Mus musculus: one gene and its partner. The protein of the gene in region 1 binds, or shares a complex with, the protein of each later gene. Links are inferred from orthologs where the notes say so. Each region holds a gene or a part of one and is shown on either strand. Other genes may lie near its edges.

What was found. The genes of interacting proteins can lie anywhere in the genome.
Region 2: Arid1b (region 1) and Smarcd1 share a complex: the UniProt entries of both Homo sapiens proteins name them as parts of the neuron-specific chromatin remodeling complex. The link is inferred for Mus musculus from reciprocal best matches to the Homo sapiens genes ARID1B and SMARCD1.

The regions. Positions count from the first base shown.
Region 1 is NC_000083.6:4,993,705-4,997,947, reverse strand, and holds the start of Arid1b (AT-rich interactive domain-containing protein 1B), read right to left. Parts: upstream 2,854-4,243; coding exon 1,456-2,853; intron 1,024-1,455; exon of another isoform or gene 1-1,023. UniProt on the Homo sapiens protein: Involved in transcriptional activation and repression of select genes by chromatin remodeling (alteration of DNA-nucleosome topology).
Region 2 is NC_000081.6:99,705,196-99,708,839, reverse strand, and holds part of Smarcd1 (SWI/SNF-related matrix-associated actin-dependent regulator of chromatin subfamily D member 1), read right to left. Parts: intron 3,214-3,644; coding exon 3,097-3,213; intron 2,336-3,096; exon of another isoform or gene 1,994-2,335; intron 1,530-1,993; coding exon 1,428-1,529; intron 1,201-1,427; coding exon 1,039-1,200; intron 956-1,038; coding exon 858-955; intron 1-857. UniProt on the Homo sapiens protein: Involved in transcriptional activation and repression of select genes by chromatin remodeling (alteration of DNA-nucleosome topology).

The DNA of each region.
Region 1 (4,243 bases):
ATAGCTTTCTTCTGATTTTTAGATAATTAAATATCAGTAAGAAATGTTATAGCATTTCAGAATACTGAAATCTTAATGCATTAAACTGTAAACTGGTAGGATTAAAATATATTCAATTAGATCTGTAAAAAGCAGACTTTTATAAAAAAGCTTGACGAAGCCCAAACTGGTCCAATCTTTGCATTAATTATTTCCCAATGCTCCTATTTTCAGTCCACAATTAAAGCCCACAATAAATGTAATGTTCATATTGTAAGATTTGTCATCGAAGACCCAAGTTTTATAAATGCCTAATACTGGACAACAGCATGTTTCTCTGTATTCAATCCTTTATTACTAACTATGATTCATAACAATTTAAGCTCTAAATAGTATTCAATCTTCCATGTGCTTGGAATAGAGTTCAGTTATTATTTGTGTCAGGAATTTTTGTGACTGTACTGCTCCGCACTTCTATTTACATCAGCAGTGCTAAATGCCCAATGGTGAGAGGGGAGCCAATCAGATGGCAGATTAGATGTCAACTCAGAGGCAGCTGTCTGGAGACTATTACAGCCAGTTTACCTCCACAATTCAAATTCCAAACCTTGCAAAGGAGAGATCAAGTCAGTCTTTAGGCTCAGCCTACTAGCAAGAAACAGCCAGAGCGCAAGACACTTCCTAACAACGCTGTTGGACTTGGGAGACAGCAAAATCAAGAAAATCCACTCAAATACGATCCACAACGACCCATTTTCTCTGGCCTACTACCTTACTAGGTTTGCTGAATAAAAAAGGAAAACCTAACCCATGATCAAAATAAGTTCCATCGATCCGGAATCTATTCCTTCAACATCGCCTCCCGGTTGAAGGTGACTCCTTCCAAGGAGCCCTTAGCCCCATAATGGATCTCTCCCCAGCTATTCTTAGGAACGAATCGATGTTATTTTACAATATTTCGCCTCCGCCCGTTGTAAATCTGGGTCTTATTCTTGCTGGTAAACATCCAAACTCCACCAGCCACGGCTGTCACAAAGCTAACCTCGGTTTTTGGGTTTTTTTTTTTTTTTTTTTTTGGTTTTTTTTTTCCCCCTGCCTCCTCCTCGCAAGGGGAATGGGAAACCGACCGAGGCCCGAAGAGAGAAAGTTCCTCTCTCCCCGCGCCCACTCAGGGCACACCGTGGGCGCCGGCGGAGTCAAGCCGGGCCCCGGAGCCCGCTGCCCCGAGAGCCCTCCCCGGGCGGGCGCGGCCTGGGGCACCGAGGTCCCGTCCCGGGCCTGGCACGGGAGCGCAGCGCGCAGCAAGGGCGCGGGACACCCCGGCTCCCCAGCCCCGCCAGCTCCGGCCCCGGCCCGGCGGCGCCGCGCCCCCGCCACCCCCGCCAACCGCCGGGAAAAGTACCCGGCGAAGAAAGAAAGTCGGGCTCGCGGCGCGAGGCCCGGGCGGAAGCAGGCCCGGCCGGGCGCGGGGGTTACCTGGGATCTGCCCATGGTCGGTCCGGGGGTGCCGGGGCTCATCGCCGGGTGACTCCTTTGTTGCGCGGCCGCCCAGGCCGGGCTGGCAGCGGCGTACTGGGCGCCTAGGTCCTTGCCCAAGCCCATGCCCGCGGCCGCCTGCTGGCCACCCGCCGCCGCCCCCGCCGCCGCCTGGGACTGGGGCTGCGACGGCGGCGGCGGCGCGCTGGAGCTGCTGTAGTCGGGGTAGCTACCGCCGTAGCTCCTCATCATGGGGCTGGGTGAGGTGAGCAGCTGGTTGAGGGTCGGTGTAGCCCCCGACGGGTGCTGGTTCTGGCCGGCGAAGCGCTGGAAGCCCCCCGCCGCCGCCGCCGCGCCGGCGGCCGCCTTGCTGAGGCTCGCGGCCCCGCCGCCCCCGGGGCCCATCATCATGCCGCCGCCCTGCTGCCGCGGGGAGCTCAGCACCCCGTACCCCGAGGACGAGCTCCCATAGCCGCCGCCACCGCCTCCTCCTGCTGCTGCTGCTGCTGCCGCCGCCGCCGCGGCCGCCGCCGCCACAGCTCCGGCTCCTGCTGCCGCTGCCGCTGCTCCTCCTGCTCCTCCTGCTCCTCCTCCTCCTCCACCTCCTCCGCTGCCTCCTCCTCCTCCGCCGCCGCCGCCGCCGCCGCCCGCGCCGGGCCGGCTGTAGCCCGGATAATGGTTGTACTGGCTGTTGGGGTACCCTTCGTGGGAGTTCTGCAGGGGGTCCATGCTGCTGGGGGCCCCGGCGGCGGCAGAGGCGGAGTGCATCATCCCCATCCCGGGGCTTTGTTGTCCGCCATGTTGATCAAAGCAAGGCCCAGCGCGGCCGCCGGGGCCGCCGCTAGCAGGGGCAGCGCTGCCATAGTAATTATTAAACTCCGAGACGGCCGCTGGGCCGCCGCCGCCCCCGGGCACGGCGACCGGCGCGGGCTGCTGCTGCGCGCCCAGGCCCGGGTGCTCATAGCGGCTGCCCGCCGGCTCCCCCATCTTGGGCGGCGCGTCGTCCTCGTCGCCCGGTTTGCTCAGCAGAGGCTGGCCCTGCGGGTCAGCCTGATTGCCCGCGACACTGTCCTTGGCGCCTCCATGTTGCGGCTGCTCCATGTCCGGGCCGGGCTGAGGCGCGCCGCCGCCCGCACCGCCCAGGCTGTTGTTGGCAGTGGGATGCTGCTGCTGCGGCGGTGGCGGCGGCTGCTGCTGCTGTGGCTGCGGCGGCTGCGGCTGCTGGAACTGGTTTAGCTGCTGCTGTAGTGCGTGGTGGTGGTGGAGGTGGTGGAGGTGGTGGGCATGGTGGTGGTGGTGGTGGTGGGCATGGTGGTGGTGGTGCTGCTGATGGGGCGGTGCAGCGGGGGCCTCGCCAACGGCTTTCAGTTTGTGGTTGGGGAGCAGCCCGGTCTCCATGGTCGAGCCGGGGCCCGCCGAGGAGGAAGAGGCCGCGACGGCGGCGGAGGAGGACAGCGCGGCGGCGCTTCCACCCTCCTTGAGAGCCGCCTCGGAGCGGCCGCTCTGCGCGCTGTTGGAGCTGGCGGCCGCCGCGGCGCTCGCGCTATGGGCCATGTTCAGGTCGTGACGGGGGTGCAGGGGGTGGTGGTGCACATTATTCAGGCCGCCGTCGCCGCCCCCCAGGATGGGGCCCGGAGCCGCCACCGCGCCGCGCGCGCCCGTCTCCAGGTCCCGGGCCCCGGGCGCCGGCCGCGGCCCCGAGGGCGCCCGCCGCTCGCCGCTGCCCGCCCGCGCCCGCGCCGCCGCTGCTGCCCGCGCGGCCATGATCGCCGCGGCGTGGCGCGGCCGGGCGGGGTGGGGGGAGACAATGTCCCCACTCGCAGCCGGCCGCCCCTCCTGCGCGCATCCACGCGGCCCGCGGGGAAGCGCGGTGCCCTCCCCACCCCACCCCCCGCAGCCCCGGGCCGCCCGCCGGGGGCGCGCCTTTGCGCTCGGGGGCTCGCGCCCGCTACGGCCTGAACGGGCGGAAAGTTTTTTAGTTCCGCTTGCAATGAAACTTTTCTCTCTCCCTCCCTCACTCTCGCTCGCTCTCTCTCTCTCTCTTTTTCCCCCCTCTCTAACCCGGATATGGGGGGGGGGGGGAAATGCACGACTTGCCTGAGCCTAATCGGGCCCAGCGCGGCGTGAGGGAGCCGAGCGAGCCGGAGCAACTATTATCCGCTTCTCTCCGAGGGCTGCTGCGCACTCGCAAAACGCGGACTGGACTCGGCCCCGGGCGCCGCCGCTGAGCGCACGTTCGCCCGCCAGCTCGCCCCGCTCACCCGGCTGGTCTCGCCCGGCCTGGCGCGGAGGGCCCGGCCCGGGGGAGCGAGGGGAGGGGGGGGGGAACCGGCTGCCGGCGCTCGGGGCCCGAAGCTGCTCGGTCCCCTCGTGCCTCCGGTCTCCCTGCCAACCCGCGCGCGGCCCTGTGTTTGTTTTCACGTCTAAAGGGAGCGGTACGAAGGTGGAAAACGAGTCTGAAGAGCAGACAAAAGAGGGAGAAGGGGCTGGGAAGCAAAGTTGTCTGTTGGGCCTCAGAGGTGGCGAGGAGCCGGTGGAGAAGAGAAACACTCAGGCAGGCCGGGCAAAAGCACTCGGTCTCTCTCAGGAGTTATGTAATTTTTCACAACCTTGGCCTCTGCGCCTGAATTTCAGGCCATCGGCTTAATTCCCACAACTTCATCCAACTGAGAAATTATGAAAGACTTAAGTGAAGGTTAAGCAGCAAAGACTGCTGTGCCGTGTACACAGCAGGCACTCAATAATTGCTTATGATTCACCACTCCGATCTAAGGTGGTGTTTATATAA
Region 2 (3,644 bases), on another chromosome or scaffold:
CAAGTAGCACCAAAGGCATTTTGTGTAAAGTTTTAAGCAGGAGTCCAAGCTGGCAGTGGTGGCGCACACCTTTAATCCCAGCACTTGGGAGGCAGAGGCAGGTGGATTTCTGAGTTCGAGGCCAGCCTGGTCTACAGAGTGAGTTCCAGGACAGCCAGGGCTACACAGAGAAACCCTGTCTCAGAAAAAAAAAAAGGTGGTTGCTGATCCCACCATAGTGGGAGCTGGTAACTAGACTCCAAAGGGAAGTGGGCCTGCTATGACAGTGCTGGCCCACATCCAGCCATTAACTCTAGCATGGGCCAGAGAAGAGCATGCCACCACAACAGTCACCTCCAGGGCATAAACCCCTCACAGGCGAGCAGAGTAACAGGCAAGCACAAGTTGGTGTCACCATCAGTTTTAATATAGTAAGGAGCTTATGTAATTTAAACAGAAACAGAACAGGCACATCTAACAAGACCACCACAGCCTGACAACGGGCCGTGCAAGCTGCTCTGCAGGCAGGCGGGCGCCAGCACACACTCACTGCTCTGTAGGCAGGCGGCAGCACACACTCACTGCTCTGCGGGCGGGCGCCAGCACACACTCACTGCTCTGTAGGCAGGCGCCAGCACACACTCACTGCTCTGCGGGCGGGCGCCAGCACACACTCACTGCTCTGTAGGCAGGCGCCAGCACACACTCACTGCTCTGCGGGCGGGCGGCAGCACACACTCACTGCTCTGTAGGCAGGCGCCAGCACACACTCACTGCTCTGCAGGCGGGCGCCAGCACACACTCACTGCTCTGCGGGCAGGCGGGCGCCAGCACACACTCACTGCTCTGCGGGCAGGCGGGCGCCAGCACACACTCACCTGATGACATGATTGATGATGATGGGCTCTGGTGGCATAAGCAAGGCGTGGAGCCGCTGAGGGATCTCTGAGAACTTCATCCGCTGAGATTCAAAGATCTGAGGCGGGGAAGAGGGAGAGGCTACAAATCGGCACATTCAGTGCGATGAGACTCCCAAAATAGAAGGTGCCCTTCACATACCTGCTGGAGGTACTTGTCACAGAGAACAAACTCTCGCTCGTGAGGGTCCTGGAGCTTGTGTGTTTTAATATACTGCCACAGTGCTTGGATGATCACTGGACGTGTCTGGGTATGGATGCCCAAGAGCCGAGCCAGGCGAGGGTCTAATTTAAACTGGGGGGGCTGCGGGGAACCAAGAGTACAGATGAAGCTAACGAGCTGGCTCCATGTGTCTTTTGGGGCGCTCAGTACAGGAACACATTCAATCTAACAAACATTGGCAAATCTGGATAGCAAAGCTAGAGGACAGAGAGACTCGCTTGCTGTCGCTATAGACTTTGACCCTTCTGAGTAAGAACTCATGCAATATGGCCGTGAAAGCTGGACTCCTTCACACCTCCAAAGCATACCTGGTAGTCCAGCATCAGCAGGACAGTACACCGTACATTCACATCTCCTGGCCGCTTCACCTGGAAGCCATCGGTCTCCTGGGTAGTGGCGGTCCTGTGCCACTGCAGAGAGGAAGGTGTCAGGGTGTACTCTTCCAGAGGAAGAGCTGGGGTGGGAGGGACGCGTGTCGGTAATAACTCAACATTTAACTTTGATTACTGAGGCTACTGGGGAAGAGCAACAGCTCAAGGTATCTCTAAAAACACATATGGCTTTGGAATTATTGTCTATGTAGGCAGAACCTTCTAATCCTGTTTGAAATGGCGGTGTTTAAAAAGGCTTAAATTCGCCTGGCAGTGGTGGTGCACGCCTTTAATCCCAGAACTTGGAAGGCAGAGGCAGGTGGATTTCTGAGTTCCAGGCCAGCCTGGTCTACAGAGTGAGTGCCAGGACAGCCAGGGATACACAGAGAAACCCTGTCTCGGAAAAAAAAAAGAAAAAGAAAAAAAAAAAAAAGGCTTAAATTCCCAGTGATAATTTCACCCACAAAATGACTTTTATACATGGAACAGAAACCTAAGCTTCGCCTTTCCGGCGGTGACGACCTCCCTACGAGAACATGCCTCTCGCAAAGGATCTCCTTCATCCCGCTCCAGAAGAGGAGAAGAGGAAACACAAAAAAAAGCGCCTGGTGCAGAGCCCCAATTCCTACTTTATGGACGTGAAATGCCCAGGATGCTATAAAATCACCACGGTCTTTAGCCATGCACAAACGGTAGTCTTGTGTGTTGGCTGCTCCACTGTCCTCTGTCAGCCTACAGGTGGAAAAGCAAGGCTGACAGAAGGATGCTCCTTCAGGAGGAAGCAGCACTGAAAGCCCCTGATTGAAGATGAGTGGGAACCTTCCCAATAAACACGTTTTGGATATTAAAAAAAAAAAAAAAAAAAAAAAAAAAAAAAAAGAAACCTAAGCTTCAATTTACTGAGGGCTAAGCTGTCTATGAGTCTACGACACACTACATTCAGTACGTTACAGAGCTAGAACTTGAGCTGACTCTAGGCCACAGGTCTAGCTACTCTACACTACTGCTATGCTATCAAATCAAGCACTTTACAGATTTCTACCAACTCTGTGACTTACTTCCCATGTCTCTTAGTGGCTGGAGATAAGGGGCTGCAGCTACGGTGGTAAAGAAAGGGGCAGGTTAAGTCCCCAGAGAGCACTAGGCCACTCTAGTTTATGTCCCCACAACCCTGTTGCTAACAGCTAACAGTCTTTGAAGCATTGTACAACCAGGCGTTAAGTGTTCCTGGCTGTCTGAAGGATAAATCTAAAGGATCAGGGGCCAAGAGGAAGGTACAGATCAGTAACCCAGACAAGCTAGTGCTCTATTAGTCTACGAGTCACCCATTAGCTACAGAAACTGCTATCAAGAAAATAAAACACGTCAGTTACTACAGCCCACCAATACTTAAAGGAAGACGCAGAGACAGTTGAAAGTGTAAGGACTCCACTCTACCAAGATCTCTTTGGGGGCAGCAGTCTGGACAGCAACAAGTGAGTCAAATCAGTTACCAAGAGCTCCTGGGGCCCAACTCAGCACAGCTAGCGCCGCCTAGAGGCCAATGTGTGAACCTGGGCTAATCATCCCCTGAAAATGTTAAGGCCTGGAAGGCAGAACTACTCACTTCTACCAGATGGTTGTCTGGGCCATAGAGGTCTTTGTCCAGTTCGATCACCAAGGACTTAAAAAAGGAAGAGAACTTTCTCTTTTGCTTGGTGGCGTCATATTTGGACAAGGCCGCCTAGAAAAGAGATGGGGAGTGGGTGGAGTGTGTTGTTACACAAGGCCAGAAAGAAGTCCCCAGGATGGAGTTCCTTAAGAAGCAATTTCTAGGGCTGGTGAGATGGCTCAGTGGGTAAGAGCACCCGACTGCTCTTCCGAAGGTCCGAAGTTCAAATCCCAGCAACCACATGGTGGCTCACAACCACCCATAATGAGATCTGACGCCCTCTTCTGTAGCTGTCTGAAGACAGCTACAGTGTACTTACATATAATAAATAAATAAATAAATAAATAAATAAATCTAAAAAAAAAAAAAAAAAAAAAAAAGAAGCAATTTCTAACTCCACTGGGGAAATATCTTCTGGTTATGGCTAGGCAGCCACTAAGTCAGTCCTGGCCACAGCAGTGCACTAACAATGGCAGGGTCTCCGACTTCCGACTGAGAAGGGA